Arabidopsis thaliana: one gene and its partners. The protein of the gene in region 2 interacts with the protein of the main gene of each other region in a pairwise test. Each region holds a gene or a part of one and is shown on either strand. Other genes may lie near its edges.

The links. Proteins that work in one complex are often made in the same cells at the same time.
Region 1: the proteins of AT2G18480 (region 2) and CAX7 interact in a protein complementation assay, tested with the Arabidopsis thaliana proteins (one large-scale study listed by BioGRID).
Region 3: the proteins of AT2G18480 (region 2) and ERS2 interact in a protein complementation assay, tested with the Arabidopsis thaliana proteins (one large-scale study listed by BioGRID).

Annotation. Positions count from the first base shown.
Region 1 is NC_003076.8:5,901,539-5,906,170, reverse strand, and holds CAX7 (calcium exchanger 7), read left to right. Parts: upstream 1-1,638; 5' UTR 1,639-1,820; coding exon 1,821-3,533; 3' UTR 3,534-3,777; downstream 3,778-4,632. UniProt on the Arabidopsis thaliana protein: Vacuolar membrane-localized H(+)-dependent K(+) and Na(+) transporter.
Region 2 is NC_003071.7:8,008,189-8,013,255, forward strand, and holds AT2G18480 (Major facilitator superfamily protein), read right to left. Parts: upstream 3,090-5,067; 5' UTR 3,056-3,089; coding exon 2,941-3,055; intron 2,806-2,940; coding exon 1,394-2,805; 3' UTR 913-1,393; downstream 1-912. UniProt on the Arabidopsis thaliana protein: Plasma membrane sugar-proton symporter.
Region 3 is NC_003070.9:1,153,909-1,159,380, forward strand, and holds ERS2 (ethylene response sensor 2), read right to left. Parts: upstream 3,906-5,472; 5' UTR 3,638-3,905; intron 3,232-3,637; 5' UTR 3,218-3,231; coding exon 1,442-3,217; intron 1,370-1,441; coding exon 1,208-1,369; 3' UTR 856-1,207; downstream 1-855. UniProt on the Arabidopsis thaliana protein: Ethylene receptor related to bacterial two-component regulators. Acts as a redundant negative regulator of ethylene signaling.

The DNA.
Region 1 (4,632 bases), on a different chromosome or scaffold from region 2:
ATAACCAAAAGATGATTTAAGTTTAAGAAGAAGATACAATCGAACAAGTGAATTAAACAAATTAAATAGTTATACACGATATAACACATACATACATATATATAACACATACATACATATATATATATATATTTGTTTACAATATTATTTGATGGTTTTATATAAACAAATATTAGTCTATTTACAGGTAAGTGTCTTGTATAAAGGCCTAATTTGAGCCAGTTTTAGTCATGTGATTGCATTACATCGAGAAGAGAACCATATATGAATCGATTGCTCTCGTCCGTTTGCACTTTGCATTATTGCGTTATTTTGTTTTCTTGGAATTAGAGTTTGTATTTTGTACTGCACTAGCCATGCCAGCTAAATGAATATACCAGGAATCTTTTGGATACTTTTTTTGTTTATCAATATTTTTATTTCGGACCTTAATTAAAGGAAATTGATCTTGGTCGGAAATATTTATATATTATCTAGAAAATTTTAAAAGATACGTAAAACAAGCTTTTCCTTTATGAAAAACGATCGATTATTATTTAATAGAAATGTATAATAATTTCATGTTAAAAAATGTTAACAGTTTTCAATAGAAATATCGGTTACGTTGCATAAATATTTATCTGACTACAAAGTAACGTTGTGTCAATATAGAGTAAATGACATAACTCCTAAGAATACAAAAGGAATAACTACTTGTCATGAATATTGGAATAAAGACTTATAACGTATTTTCAACTATCTCAAATCATGATGAATACAAAGTAGCCGGCGGTTTTTTCACTAAAAAATAAAAGATGGCGGTCCAAAATTTTATCAAATTAATGATCTTTAATTTTTGTTTGCATCATTTATTAAATTCTCATGTGTATTCTTTAACGATGCAATATAAAAATTACAAGCAAATCATAAGAATGTGGATATGACGACTATGTTTGAAAAGTCGTGATCGGTTGAGATTGCGTTGCAAAGTGGTCTACTCAGCCAAAATACTTCTTAATCACATCAATCGACCTTCAGGTTTGGAGTTTTCTCCATTTTCAATTTTTTCGAATCCTAGTTTTATTAATTTTATCAATCACATGTCCATATTTGATAACTGATATATAACCATACATAATATATAAATAATCAATTTCTTTTTAGGCCTAAAACATTAGGCAATGTCCAGATTTTGATGGCCGTAAAAAATTATTAAGTAGTATTGTTTTTTCGGGAAAGCAATGAATGACCTAAGTTGGTGATTAATTCAACCATTATACGAACACCATTGCAACACAATCTCACTCACTTTGATAGTTATGGTTTTTTTCTATTAATACTTTATGCTGACTACTTTTCATCGAATATTAACTATAATAGCAACATTATGAACTACATTAATCCTCAACTCCTTGTTATTGTCACAAATATCATGACACGTGTGATTTGCATGCCTCGCGACGATTACACTAGAAAATTGGACTCCAAGTTGGACCATAGAAAAATAAAAACACTACATACAAATTGTAGTAACATGAATATCTCGTAAAACCAATAATAGTAGATATAGAGTTCTTTAAAAACACTTTATCAACTTCGATTTTTCCTCCTTGTGTGAATAATTGAATATAACCTCCCCCACTTAATATATTTCGCATAAAAAGACAATACTTTCCCCTACCCACATCCGCATGAAATAAAAAGGAATCTTTTATTTTCCGAAATATTAACAATTCAAAACTTCCACACAAAAAAAAAAAAACTACAATTTTCTCATTATTATATCAGAAAACCTAACACACCTCATTATTGTTCCACTTCATACCCATTTGCTTCCTTGAATGGCAAGTCTCTTCTCCTCACGTCTCGGCTCTCAATCTCTTTCTCTCCTCATCAACATCTTCTTCATCTTTCTCATCTTTCTCCATTTCGCTTCACAAACTCCTCCTCCCTCCGGATCCATCCAAACCTTAAATTCCTTTGCCGGCGGTGACAGTGACAGCTGCAGCGGAGGACTCGCCAGCCTTGACGACCACCGTTCCAAGTGTTCTTACATAAGATCTCAATCAAAATGTGGCCCACAAGGTTACATAGACTATCTCAAGATTTTCTTCTGCATCTTCGGACAATCCCCTGTTTTGGGCCATCTAGTTTTATCCGCCTGGTTGTTTGTTCTGTTCTACTTGCTCGGAGACACGGCCGCGAGTTACTTCTGTCCTTCTTTAGACAGCTTATCTAAGGTTTTGAAGCTGTCTCCTACAATGGCTGGAGTCACGCTTCTCTCTCTTGGCAACGGTGCGCCTGATTTGTTCTCAAGTGTTGTCTCCTTCACAAGATCGAATAATGGCGATTTTGGGCTCAACTCTATTTTAGGCGGTGCGTTCTTCGTCTCTAGCTTCGTTGTTGGGACGATTTGTGTGTTGATTGGATCTAGAGATGTCGCTATCGACAGAAATAGCTTTATCCGCGACGTGGTTTTTCTTCTTGTCGCTCTTTGCTGTCTCGGTTTGATCATCTTCATAGGCAAAGTAACCATTTGGGTCGCTCTCTGTTATCTCTCCATTTATCTCCTCTATGTAGGGTTTTTATCGGTTTCACATTTCTTTGACCGCAAGAAACGTATGTCCGATCAGATTCTTCGTAGCAGAGAAGATTTGGCCGAGATGGGTGTTTCGTTGCTAGGCTATATAGCAGAGGAGAAGCTGGCTTTGCCAGAGAAAACAACTCAAGAATTCAAGATTGTGTTTGAAGATTCTCCAAAAAGGCACCGATCTTGCTTCTCGGTGCTAGTGAGCATAATTGGACTACCTCTATATCTCCCCAGGCGGCTCACAATTCCCGTCGTTTGCGAAGAAAAATGGTCAAAGCCTTGCGCTGTGGTTTCCACGGCCATCGCTCCTGTTCTACTAACCGAACTTTACTGTTCTCATTACAGCGGGTCACAAAGAAACCTAATCTTGTACATAATATCCGGATCTATCGGGCTAATCGTCGGTATCTTAGCTTACTTGACGACAGAAAAATCACATCCGCCGAAGAAATTCTCATTAGTTTGGCTTCTAGGAGGCTTCACGATGAGTGTGACATGGACATACATGATAGCACAAGAGCTAGTCTCATTGTTAATATCCTTAGGTAATATCTTTGGTATAAGCCCATCCGTGCTAGGACTAACCGTCCTAGCTTGGGGAAATTCTCTAGGCGATCTTATCGCGAATGTGACCGTGGCGTTTCACGGAGGCAACGATGGTGCTCAGATAGCACTTTCCGGATGCTACGCAGGCCCGCTATTCAACACGGTAATTGGACTAGGTGTGCCACTTGTCATCTCCTCGTTGGCCGAATACCCCGGGGTCTACATCATTCCTAGTGACAATTCGTTGCTTGAGACACTAGGGTTCTTAATGGTAGGCTTGCTTTGGGCACTTGTGATAATGCCAAAGAAGAAGATGAGACTTGATAAGCTTGTCGGTGGGGGCTTACTCGCTATTTACCTCTGTTTCTTGTCCTTGAGGTTGGCTAGAGTTTTCGGAGTCCTTGATACCGACCGGTGAATTTTATAGTAATGTAAATTTTGTTTTATTTGTTTTTGTAATAGTAGTTAATTCTTAAAGAAAAAAATTGCAAATAGGTCAAATTTGTGGGTCTTAATTTATTCCTTAAATGAAAAGATACTTTGTGCATAGTTGAATTACTATCGAGAGGGATGGCTAAATTTGTTTTGTTGCTGAACACTCATTTTCTGTCAAACTCACTTAGTACCTCACTAAAATTAAAAAAGCTTTGGATTGTTGTTCTAGGTTCATTGTTCATGGATTGTAAATAGATACGACATCATTAATACTAATATGCGGTCTAATTGGAATTCACAGTAATTGTTCATTTGATTATTTAAATGAATCTTATCTTCGTTATGATATAAGGATGTCATTTTCTTGAACTTATAAACTTACCGATCAAGATTCTTAAACATCTGAAGATTTTCTAGTCCTGAATATTAGCTACTAAATTTCATGTATAGTCTGATCTGATAGGTAAAATAATAAATATGATCAATTACGCTTTATGATCTTCTAGTTAATTTATGACTATAATCAAATAAAATAATAAATTTGATTATTTATAAATAATAAAGAGATTACGCTTTATGATCTGATCTAATTGTTCATTTGATTATTTGGTCGAATGAGACGCTTTATGATCTTCTAGTTAATTAGATTTTGATGTTTTGAATAATAAATAACGTATGATATCATTGATTTTGATGTTTGGTTGTTTTTTGGTTTAGCTTAGCTCAAGTGCTCAACCTTAATATTCCAAATTTGGAAGAAAAAAAAATCTGATTAATTTTTTTAAAAAAGGTTTCAATTAGGTGAAATTAACCGGAATGTATCAACTACGGCCAAATTTATCATATATGTTTAAATCCCTAAACAATTGTGGTAACGGATGCAAAGTGTCCCATTGCATTTTGAATTATTAGAAAATGGCCAAAAATTGGAGTTATCCTATTTCCAAGGAAACAATTTGCAGACAAGAAAAATGTGCCAAATTATTATGCACACGAGTCATGATGAGATTAGGAATAAAAAACACATCTTATCTTGAGTTCATTGCAAATTGGCAAAAAGAGACAAGCGTTGTCGCTTCAAA
Region 2 (5,067 bases):
CGGTCTAATTTTTCTCTTTTTGGCTCCGTGATATTAGGAGCTAACGATTGTTGATTCATTTCCACGTAACCTCATGCATTATTACCTTAATTTGTCAGGAAAATCTCTGGTTTATTTTGGTCCGTCAAATCAAATCATTGCTCCTCAGGTCTTCCCATATGTGATATGTCTCCTTTTTCTTCAATATTGCTCTAGAGCAACATAATTTTTCTCACAATTAAAGGACTTCAATTGGGAACAAATGTCAAGGTTTTTTATTATTTAGACCTTTGAGCATGATCAAACTAATTTCTTCACGCACAAGTTCATCGATTTCTTTACGAATCTCAGGGTTCTCACCCCTCAAATATCAACTATGACTCTACTTCAGTATTGGTAATCCTCTCCTTTCCATCAATTAAACTAAGACTTAAAAACCATGAAGTGATCAATATGTTTTGTTTAAGCACTTTCTGATCTCTGGAAACATTAATATGCATACTCTAGAGTCTAGAATTAGATGTGTAGTTAAAAATCGAACAATTCTTGGTTCACCTTTTCATTCACCTCTTTCAGCCAATTAGAATATGTCACCTAATAAATAAATAAACTCATTTAATTATAAAATCTATAATCTTAACCACTATTTCATAAACTCAAACCGATATATAATTTTGTTTAATTACAAAATTTAAACTCTAATTCTATTTTGTAAATCCAAACCGACATTTAAACTCGATTAATTGTAAAATCTAAACTTAAATCGTTCTTTCTAAAACTCAAACCGACATTTAACCTCATCTAATTGTAAAATCCAAACCCGTTTATAACTCTAAACCGACATTTAACCTCGTTTGATTCTAAAATCTAAAATCGTTTATAAACCTAAACTGGTATTTAACTTCGTTTAATCATAAAATTTAAACTTTAACCCTCTCTTATAAATCCAAACCGATATATGATTTTGTTTTGGTGAACTATTAGATTTTATAATTAAATAATTGTTATTGTTTTTTATTAGGTTGTAGATTCTCATTAGCTACAGTAAAAAGGGATGAATATAAAAATCATACTTTGTCCTTTACAAAAAATCACACCTTATAATAGATATGCCAAATCATGTTGGATTTAAAAATTATTCTACATAGCCATGATAATCTAACCTAATTATTGACTCTCTAAGGGCATCTCCATCCATGAGAAACCCACAAAGTTTCTCAAACAAAAAAAAATTAATATTATATTATAATTTGAATTTTTGATTAAAAAAATATTTTTGTTAAAAAGTTGAACCAATAGTGAGAAGCGAATTGTCATGATGGGTTGTAGAGAGTATCTCAAAGTTTCTGAGAATCTTTCTACACTCTCTCTCCTTCATTTTTATTATTTTTATTTTTTTAATTGTGAGAAACTCTTATGAGAAACCCCCAATAGAGATGGTTTTAGTTTGAATCTCAAGTCCGTCACGATCACCACGAGGACCCCCACCACCAAAAAGCTTCTCCATCTCCTCCAATGGCAATCCTTTCGTCTCCGGCAACATAAAGAAGAAGAACCACCATGCCGCCACCGCTATTCCGGCGAATACGAAGAACACGCCCCCTGTCGTGATCGCCTTCGTCATCGACAGAAAACTCATTGAGACCGTCGCGTTCATGATCCTATTAACCGCAACACCTATACTCGCTCCCTGAGCCCTAAGTCTCAACGGGAATATCTCGGAGCTGTACACCCATGTGATAGGTCCAAGCCCTATGGAGAAAAAAGCTACAAATGCATACGTAGAGACGATGCTTAAACTCAATGCCCACGCTAACCGCCCAAATCGCTGAACCATCGTGAGACTAACCGCTAAACTGGTCAATGCGAAGACCATCCCACCCGTACTGGTCAACAGGAGCTTTCTACGACCTACCTTGTCGAGCAAGAAAGTGGCTATTATTATGAAAAAGGCCTTAGTTAAACCTACACCGACCGTGGCTAGTAAGAGCTTGTCTTTCGAAACAACTCCGGCTTTCTTGAAAATTCTCGGGCTGTACAACACGACGGCCTCAATCCCCGTCGCATGCTCGAAAAAGTGTATCCCAACGGCCGCTATCAAGATCAAACGCACCGCAGGTCGCGGTTTTATCACCAACTCCCTCCAAACACTTTTACCGTGATTCTTCTTCTTAACGCCGCCACCAACTTCTTTTATCTCTGTCACATCTACTTCCGCAGCGGTTAAGATGTCTCTGAACCGTTCTTCAGCTTCTTCTTCCGTATTGGATACCAAAACCATTATTTTCTTGGCTTCTTCTAACCTACCTTGCATCACAAGCCACCTCGGCGACTCGGGCATTCTTGTAATCCCAAAAGCCAATATCAAAGACGGGAACGCTGCGATTCCAAGCATCAATCTCCATCCAAGTTTCAACGTCAGTTTCCCAAAACAGTAATTCGAGACATAGCCTAGTAAAATCCCAAGACTAATACAAAGCTCAGGTAGAGAAGTGAGAAAGCCTCTATGTGACGCAGAGGATATCTCGGCAGAGTAAACCGGAGCTATCATGAGAGCAAACCCTACACCAACTCCGGCAATACATCGTCCGACCATCAAAACAGGATAGTTTGGGCCGTAACCCATAAGAACTGAGCCCACTAAGAATATCACGGCGGAGAGAGCTATGGTGTAACGTCGGCCGATGACGTCAGACGTTTTCCCCGCCGTTAGTGATCCGACGAGTGCACAAAGATTCAAGATTCCGGCCAAAACTTCAATCTGAGTGTCGTTTATTTTTAGATCATCTCTTATAAATATCTGAGCTCCGCTCATAACTCCCGTATCTAAGGACAACACACCATTACAAAAAAAAAAATATTCGTTAATATAAAATCATTAATATAATTCCATTGAATATATCTTTATATGATATATGTAGAAAACTTTTGTTTGATATGTAGAGAATGTTAGTATGTTACCATATCCAAAGATGATAGAAATGATGGAAGCAACAATGGCACACCCGAAAGCGAACTTGTTCATATGAGGGTTTGGATCCGAACCGGGAAAATTATGACCATCAGCATGAACCATGTTGAGTCTTTTTCTTCTCTTTTTTTTTTTTTGGGTTAAATTTTAGAATAACTTGTTATATCGATTGTGTGCATTTACTAGTATATATATACACATAACTATATATGTCCACCACTTGCATCCATAGTGGAACAATGACGATCAAAAACTTCTACTGTTGTTCCACAGTGTTTGTGGGTGCCCACGTATTCTGGTACGAGAATTATATTTCTGCAAGATATGAATTTTCCTCAAGATTTAGACGTATACAACCTGAGAAGTATATCGAGCAAAATAAATTGAAAAGATTTCCAACAAAAAAAAAAAGTAGTGTAATCAGGCAAGTGTTTTAAGTTTTAACCAATACATACGTAAGTTAAAATAATAATTAAAAGGTTACAATGAGTTTAAAAAATGGTTTCGCACACGGTCTTCAAATAATTTGTGACGACCTTCGTTGAACTTGAACTTGGTCTTCTTGTTTTCAATTTTTATTATTTTTTAATAAAGGAAGTGAAGATTTTTATTAGATGCTATGTTACATGTAAACCCGATTATTGTAGTTTTGCAATTGCATGTTACGTATAAAGTTGTTCTCGTGAGTGGAATGCATGAAAAATTGTATGTCGTAAACTATTTATGAAACTCTAAAGCAAAAAGTTTCCGTTGTGAAGTCATATGTATGAGAATTCAGAATTGATCATTCATTATAGTAACATATGCTAGAAGAAGTTATATCCACCATTTTTAAATGGTAGGTCATCAATTTTAATACGATATGACCAAAAATATTGCTAATATTGTAAGTTAAAAGTCGCCATCTTCTTCACTTTCGGCATTTTCCTGATCTATGTTCAATAGTGGCGTAACCTTTAAAGATTCTTTTCCACATTTATATAATTTGGTGAACTAAATTTATACGGTGCATTTATTTTCAGTTGGTTTCTTTTTCTTATTGAAGTGATGAAGTCCAAAATTAAACTTGTTTTGACGAAACAAAAAAACTTGTATCCAACAAAAAGCCGTTGTTCTCAACAGACGAATAATACTATCAGACTATATGTATCATTACATAATGAAATTGATATCTGTTGGGAAAAAACTGATGTGTGATTTGATCAATAAATCAGAACATCATAAGTCATAACGTAACCTATAGCTCTGTTTGTATGTGCAAGATAAACAAAAATGTTTTTGGGTTCCAACTAATGTTCATTTTAGCATGATCGATGGAAAATTCTGAAATTGCCAATTCTATCATTTATATTTTTGTCATATGCTTTGTCAGTTTGGCTGGCCTAGAGTTTTACGTCCAATTAGTCTGTTGAGAACTGTATTTTTGTTTTTCTTACTCGTACGTTGTTGGAATTCTGAAACAAGATGTTATTACGCCTCCAGTATTAAATCAATATTTTACCCCGCTAATTATAACATTATATATCTTGGTGGACTACGTCCAATTTATGTTTAGTCTTTTTTACATTCGCTACTAATAAATTGGTATCATAACTTCGAATTTTCAACATGCTTTTGTAATCTGGTAAGCATACATTTGTAAAATTGTAATGAACATAAGAAGCAATATTGGTGTATTAGAGAGACAATAACTTATTTCAAACTTCTAGTTTTTCTAAATAATTCTTAGTGTATACGTTTTATAGATCTCTAAATCTGTTAGAAGTAAAGGTTTACACATTTAATGGATATACGATATATATATTATTAAAAAAGAAGAAGTAAATCTGGATAATCATCTAGCTAGTATCTATATATATAGTTGGCAAAAACGCTAACCTTTGGGATTTGTATACGTAAATTATGCAAATGCACAAAATCCATGTAAATAGTAAAGTTTTGATATGATTCCTTGAAAGTTATATTTTGGTGAGCTGAAAAAGAAAGATACGTGACGAAAAAGTAGTATTTGATTTGTTTTCTTGAAGAGCATATACCATAATGAGTAACTTACTCAAACAAGTAAATGGCATGCGTTTTTTTCTTTTCACTTTTAATTGAAAAGGCATATATTGTCG
Region 3 (5,472 bases), on a different chromosome or scaffold from region 2:
ATTGTTTCGTCAAAGCTCTCTCTCTCCTTCAACTATCAGCAATTAACGATTGGAGCAAATAAATTAGATTTTGAATTCTGTAATCCCCACAATTATGTATACCCAGAAAACAATATGCCAAGTCATGATTTGAAATGGACAAAGATATTCAACGATCTGGCTCTCTCAAACTATACCAATCCGCAATCATTTCTAGATTTTATCCGTGAGTATAACGAATTCATGGCTAAAAAATCGAAACCCTTTAAAACCCACATCAGATAATCGATGGGCAATAAACCCTAATTTCCAATTTTCAAAATTAGATTGGTAAAATTACAAACAAACAAAAAAAAATCAGCCGAAAAATTAGAGGGCGGCGAAGCAATATATCATTTCAATCAGCTAAAATATCCAGAGAAACCTCATAATTTCATCAAAGACATCGGAAAACAAAACAAAGCCCAGATGAAATCAACGATCGGGGAAAATCAAAATCGGTGTGGTATCAAAATGAAAGACTGTAATCGGAACATAAAGCCTCGCAAAATCCGAAGAACAAAGGAGGAGATATAGAAGAAGCTTATTGGTTGTAGATCGAAGCGAACCTGAGATGGTGGAAGAAAGAGCAAAGAGAAGCTAATTCGTTGAATGGGCTAATGGCAGCTCCTATGAGATTCTACAGAGAGAGAACAAACCAAAAAAGACGACGGAGGAAAAGAAAGAGAGATAAATAGAGAGAAAGAGAGGTCGCACGAATCACCTCAATGTTAAAAAAAAAAAATCACATAAACCTTTTAAAAACAAAAGTTAATTAAAAGGTCGAAGTTAATATGTACCTGGATACATATTGTGGATACAAGTTGTATACGGTTTCTGGATCAGAAATCAATAAATTTATAAGCTTCATCTAAAACGTCACAATATTTGACAAAGGAGTTGGTAGGCTTGTAAATCACAAATCCGTAAGGAACATCCTCCGACACATTTTTTTACTTTGAATTCTGTTATCACCAGCAAGTTACAACAAGTCTGCATCATACCTTTTGCCTACACGATAGGTTAAAACCTAGTTAACTTTCAGGTTTTTACAACCGAACGACAACGTTTTAGTACTCTCTCTGTTAATCTCATTAAAGCCCCTACTGTTTTTACAAATTCTCAGATTCCACCCCTTAAATCTTTCTTTTGCACTACATTCCCCTCCCCCCCTTCCTGACGTCAATGATCAGTGGCTAGTAGACGGAGGAGTTGAGGTTCTAAACGTTTCTCCAGAATATCCACCGCCTCTCGACATCATCGATCGCCGGAGTTGAAACCGGAAAACAACTGAGACGCTTTTCACCAAACCTAGACCGTCCTCAACAACCCGAATATTCCCTTGCATATACTGTCACAAAACAAGATAAAAGTGTTAAACCAAGTCATTAGCACATTTACATACAAAACACAAATGACCAACCTTTACAATGTTTTGGCAAGCGTTGAGACTCGGATTCTCTTCCTCCTCCTCCAGGTTACTACCACTACTACTACTACTACTCTCTTCACCTTCAGCAGTTACCTCGAATCCGAATCTAACTTCCATGTATTCTTTCGAATAGCAATGTCGCCAAACCGCTTCTTGAATATCTTTCCTCTCTGATACGTCTGAGTTCCCGCTTTCCGGAAAAACCCAGAAAGTCACATTCCCTTTGATCTTTCGATTCATTAGAACCCCAAGCATATGCAAAATCGCTTGAAAGACCTTTCTATCATCACCTACGACGTAGTCAGGCAATGCTCTATAAACTTCAGCTGAGAAACCAAAACCATTTGCCATGCATAAACACCTCGCCACGCAAGCTGACTCTTTCACAACCGAATGCAAACTGAAATAATGAGTCTCTGCAGCGCGGATTGTCCCATTGTTTATATCTCCGGCATTGTTTACAAGCTGTACAAGTAACTCGCTGGTTCTCCTCATTGCATCAACGATAACAGTCTGGTTCTCGGGTAACTTCCCATCCTGAAGTATCAAAGGAAGCAACCCGAGAATGGACCGCACAGGACACCTCATTGCATCGCTCATCATCTGCTCGAACGCAGCCTTGGCTTGATTAGCTCTCAGTGCGTTCTCCCTCGCAACCTGAAGCGCTCGGTTCTGTTCAGCGAGTTTCTCTCTCATAAGCTGAGATTCTTCAAGAATCACGGCGTGAGAGATTGCAACCGCCACTTGATCAGCCACCACCTTAACAATCTCAAGCTCTTGATAAGTCCAAGCCTGCGGCTGTCTCAATGGAAGCACACACACCAATATCGCATAACACATGTGAATCGCCTCTGGTGTCCCGCCTTTAAAGTTACAAACCCGAAGCATAGGGACTCTTATCCCAACCGTAGGACCTGACTTCCCTCGGCTAGTCACTGAGGCAAGCACAGAACCAGGGCTCAACATATTCACCTCTTCGCTTCTCTTAATCCTCACAACATCAGACTCACTAATCGGTATCGAGAACCCAGCATAACCACCAAAATGCTCATTCTCATTCTCATCATCAATCCTCGGTCTTAACTCATGAGTAAGATTCATCTCCGTCTTGATCTCATTCGGGATCCAAACCGCACAGTTCTTGAGCCCCAGAGTCTTGGACAACTCCACAAGCGTAGTGTATAGAATGGTGTGTCGATCAAGAGACGTCCTAATCTTGGTAGTGAGCATACGAACATGCAAACTCGTCTCAGTCTGCTTCATAATGATCCCAACCTCACGATCAAGCTCTCTGGTCTTCTTACTCAACATAAACTCACGAACCTTAGCCTTAAGAAGCAATGGTAAGAGAGTGACTAACGAGAGTGCCGTGAGGAAAGAGACGATACCAGTCAGCATCTTGAAGACAGTGACAGCTGTCATGACCCAAGGCCAGTGAGGCCCGTAGGTGAAACCAGCGAGCAAATGGGTCATGCCGCAGAGAACAATGAAGGCTATAAACTCGCAGACCACCCAATTGTAAGGTGAAGGCACATTGGTGCGGCTCACGAAGTAAACCAGCTCGATTGGGATCGAGAAATAAGCGATTGCGATAAGAAAGTCGCCGACTTTTTGCGAGTTGAGGATTGTCTCGTAGCTAAAGAGACTGTCTTCGTCGTCGCAGTTGCATAACGACAAGCTACCGTCGTCTTCTGCGGCGGTGACGACGGAACCGATTAAGAAGAAGAAGAAGAAGACAAGCCATTGGACTAACAATGTCTTTAACATCGATTACTGTTTCCCTGAGTAAGAATTAATTAAAAAGGTGAGATTTTTATTCATACCCAGAACTCAAAATCGAGATTTTTCAATTCAATATGCGTAACGTTTGGATTTTGTATACCCAGAATTGTGCAATTACCTATGAACATAGTGAAAATCAAAATCAGAAAAAGATTCAAAATTCAAAACTTGTTCAAGGAGAGAGTAAAGTTAATGTCTTTTAGATTATAAATCTTTTTCACAACAAGGACCGAATTTGTAAATTAATTTTCTTTTAATCCCCTAAATGTATGAAGTTATGAACCACCCACAAGAACAAACATCAAAATCTACCGATTCCTCACAAAATCCGCAGAAAATTCAAAATCAGATGAGAAATAGCGAAAAGGAACATCAAACCCATCTCACATTTGAGAAATCATATACCTGCAACGTAGTGATCAGCCAAAAATCTCTTTTCCAGAAAACGTAAAAGCTGTAGAAGAAGAAGAAGAAGAAGTCTAAACGATTGTTGAATCTTACGAAACTCACCAGAATGTGTAGAGAGAGAGACAAGTTAGGGAAGTAAATATGTGTGTGAGCAGAGTCTCTCGCTCTCTCTTTTTCTGTGTCTGCTGCGATAGAGAGAGTAGATTTACGTTTTGGTGAGAGAGAGAGAGAGAGAGAGAGAGAGAGGGAGGAATTGGGGGGAGAGTGAAGAAGGAAAGGGGGGTGGGACCCAGAAACGGTACATGAAGAGAACATAGACGCTTTTCGTTTGGAACACAACACGAGCACGACATCTTCTTCTTCTTCTTCTTGACCTACGTGGACTCTTACCAAATTCAATTTTAGAGGATTCTTCTTCTTTTTTTAATCTTTCCTTTTCAGCTTTATTAATTAATGACTCTATTTTCAAGATTTATGACTCTTAATACCTATCCCAAATTTTATTCTGCTTTTGGATTACAATAAACAACCTATAATAATATATATATATATTTATATTTCTATTATTTTATGTATAAAAATAAATCTATTCTTTTTAATGTTTAAAAATTAGTTAATTATATTAAATAAATGTTTTATTTCTATTATGGATGATTACATTGGTTTTTTAGAAAGTGAGATTACATGACCAAATAGTAGTATAAGTTTACATTAAAACCAAAAAATTGCATTAAACAATGATAACTACTAGACTATGCAAGTATGAAGTCTACTCACTAAATATCTAAGTTAAAAATAGTATTGACTTAAACGGCACAATTTGCGGCTGATTTGATAACATAATGAGTTAGTTTATTCGACTGACTTAAGATATTTGGTAGATAATTAAATATGCAATGCTATTTTTCGTTTGTAAAACGTTATATTGACCTACCTTGCTACTTATTAGACATGATTTAGTTAAACACTCCATCTTTGTTTTTCTACTCAATAATAACAATACCGAATCAAATTTCTTTGTGGGTCTACCGCCACTTAACTCTTATCAGAAAATGGAGTCTTAACTAAGTGCATGATCATCTCTTTGGATCCCAATATCACTAAATTATCGATCGTACTACTAATTTTTCTTGGCAATTTTATCATTTTATTGGTAATATTTCCCTTTCAAGAAATCAATATGATCAACCACTAACTTTTCTTTGTAAACCGCAAATTTAGAAAAATATATACACATGAAAATCCGTATATTTTGATTGCCCTATTGAAATTTAGTACAAGTAATATATAAACTAGCTACATAACCTCGACAATAACGAACACTTATCAGATTTAGAAGACAAAACTAACAGCAATCTTGCTATATCGGTTTGAATTTTATGTTTTTGTTTATTAATATGAATTTGATCTTAGTGGATGCACTAGGAACATTTTATGGTCAAGGTTTTATACCAATATAAATCTTTTAAATAAATAACCAGTGGTCTAGTGGTAGAATAGTACCCTGCCACGGTACAGACCCGGGTTCGATTCCCGGCTGGTGCAGATTGTATTTTTTTCCTGTTATACAGGTTTTTTCGCTTTTTTCTTTTTCTTTTTTTCTGAATCCAATGCTATTATTGGCCACGTGTCGAGCGATGAACACGTGCTGATTCCTTTCCTTTTCTGTCTACATTCTCGTCACTATTACAAAACAAATGTCTTCTCCTTTTAAAGAAATCACTGGTAAGAATGCATGCATCATAAAACTTTTATCAAAGAAATAGAAATAGTGCATGCACCTTTGCCACTTAAGCCAATATATATGCAAATCAAAACAGATGTACACAGAA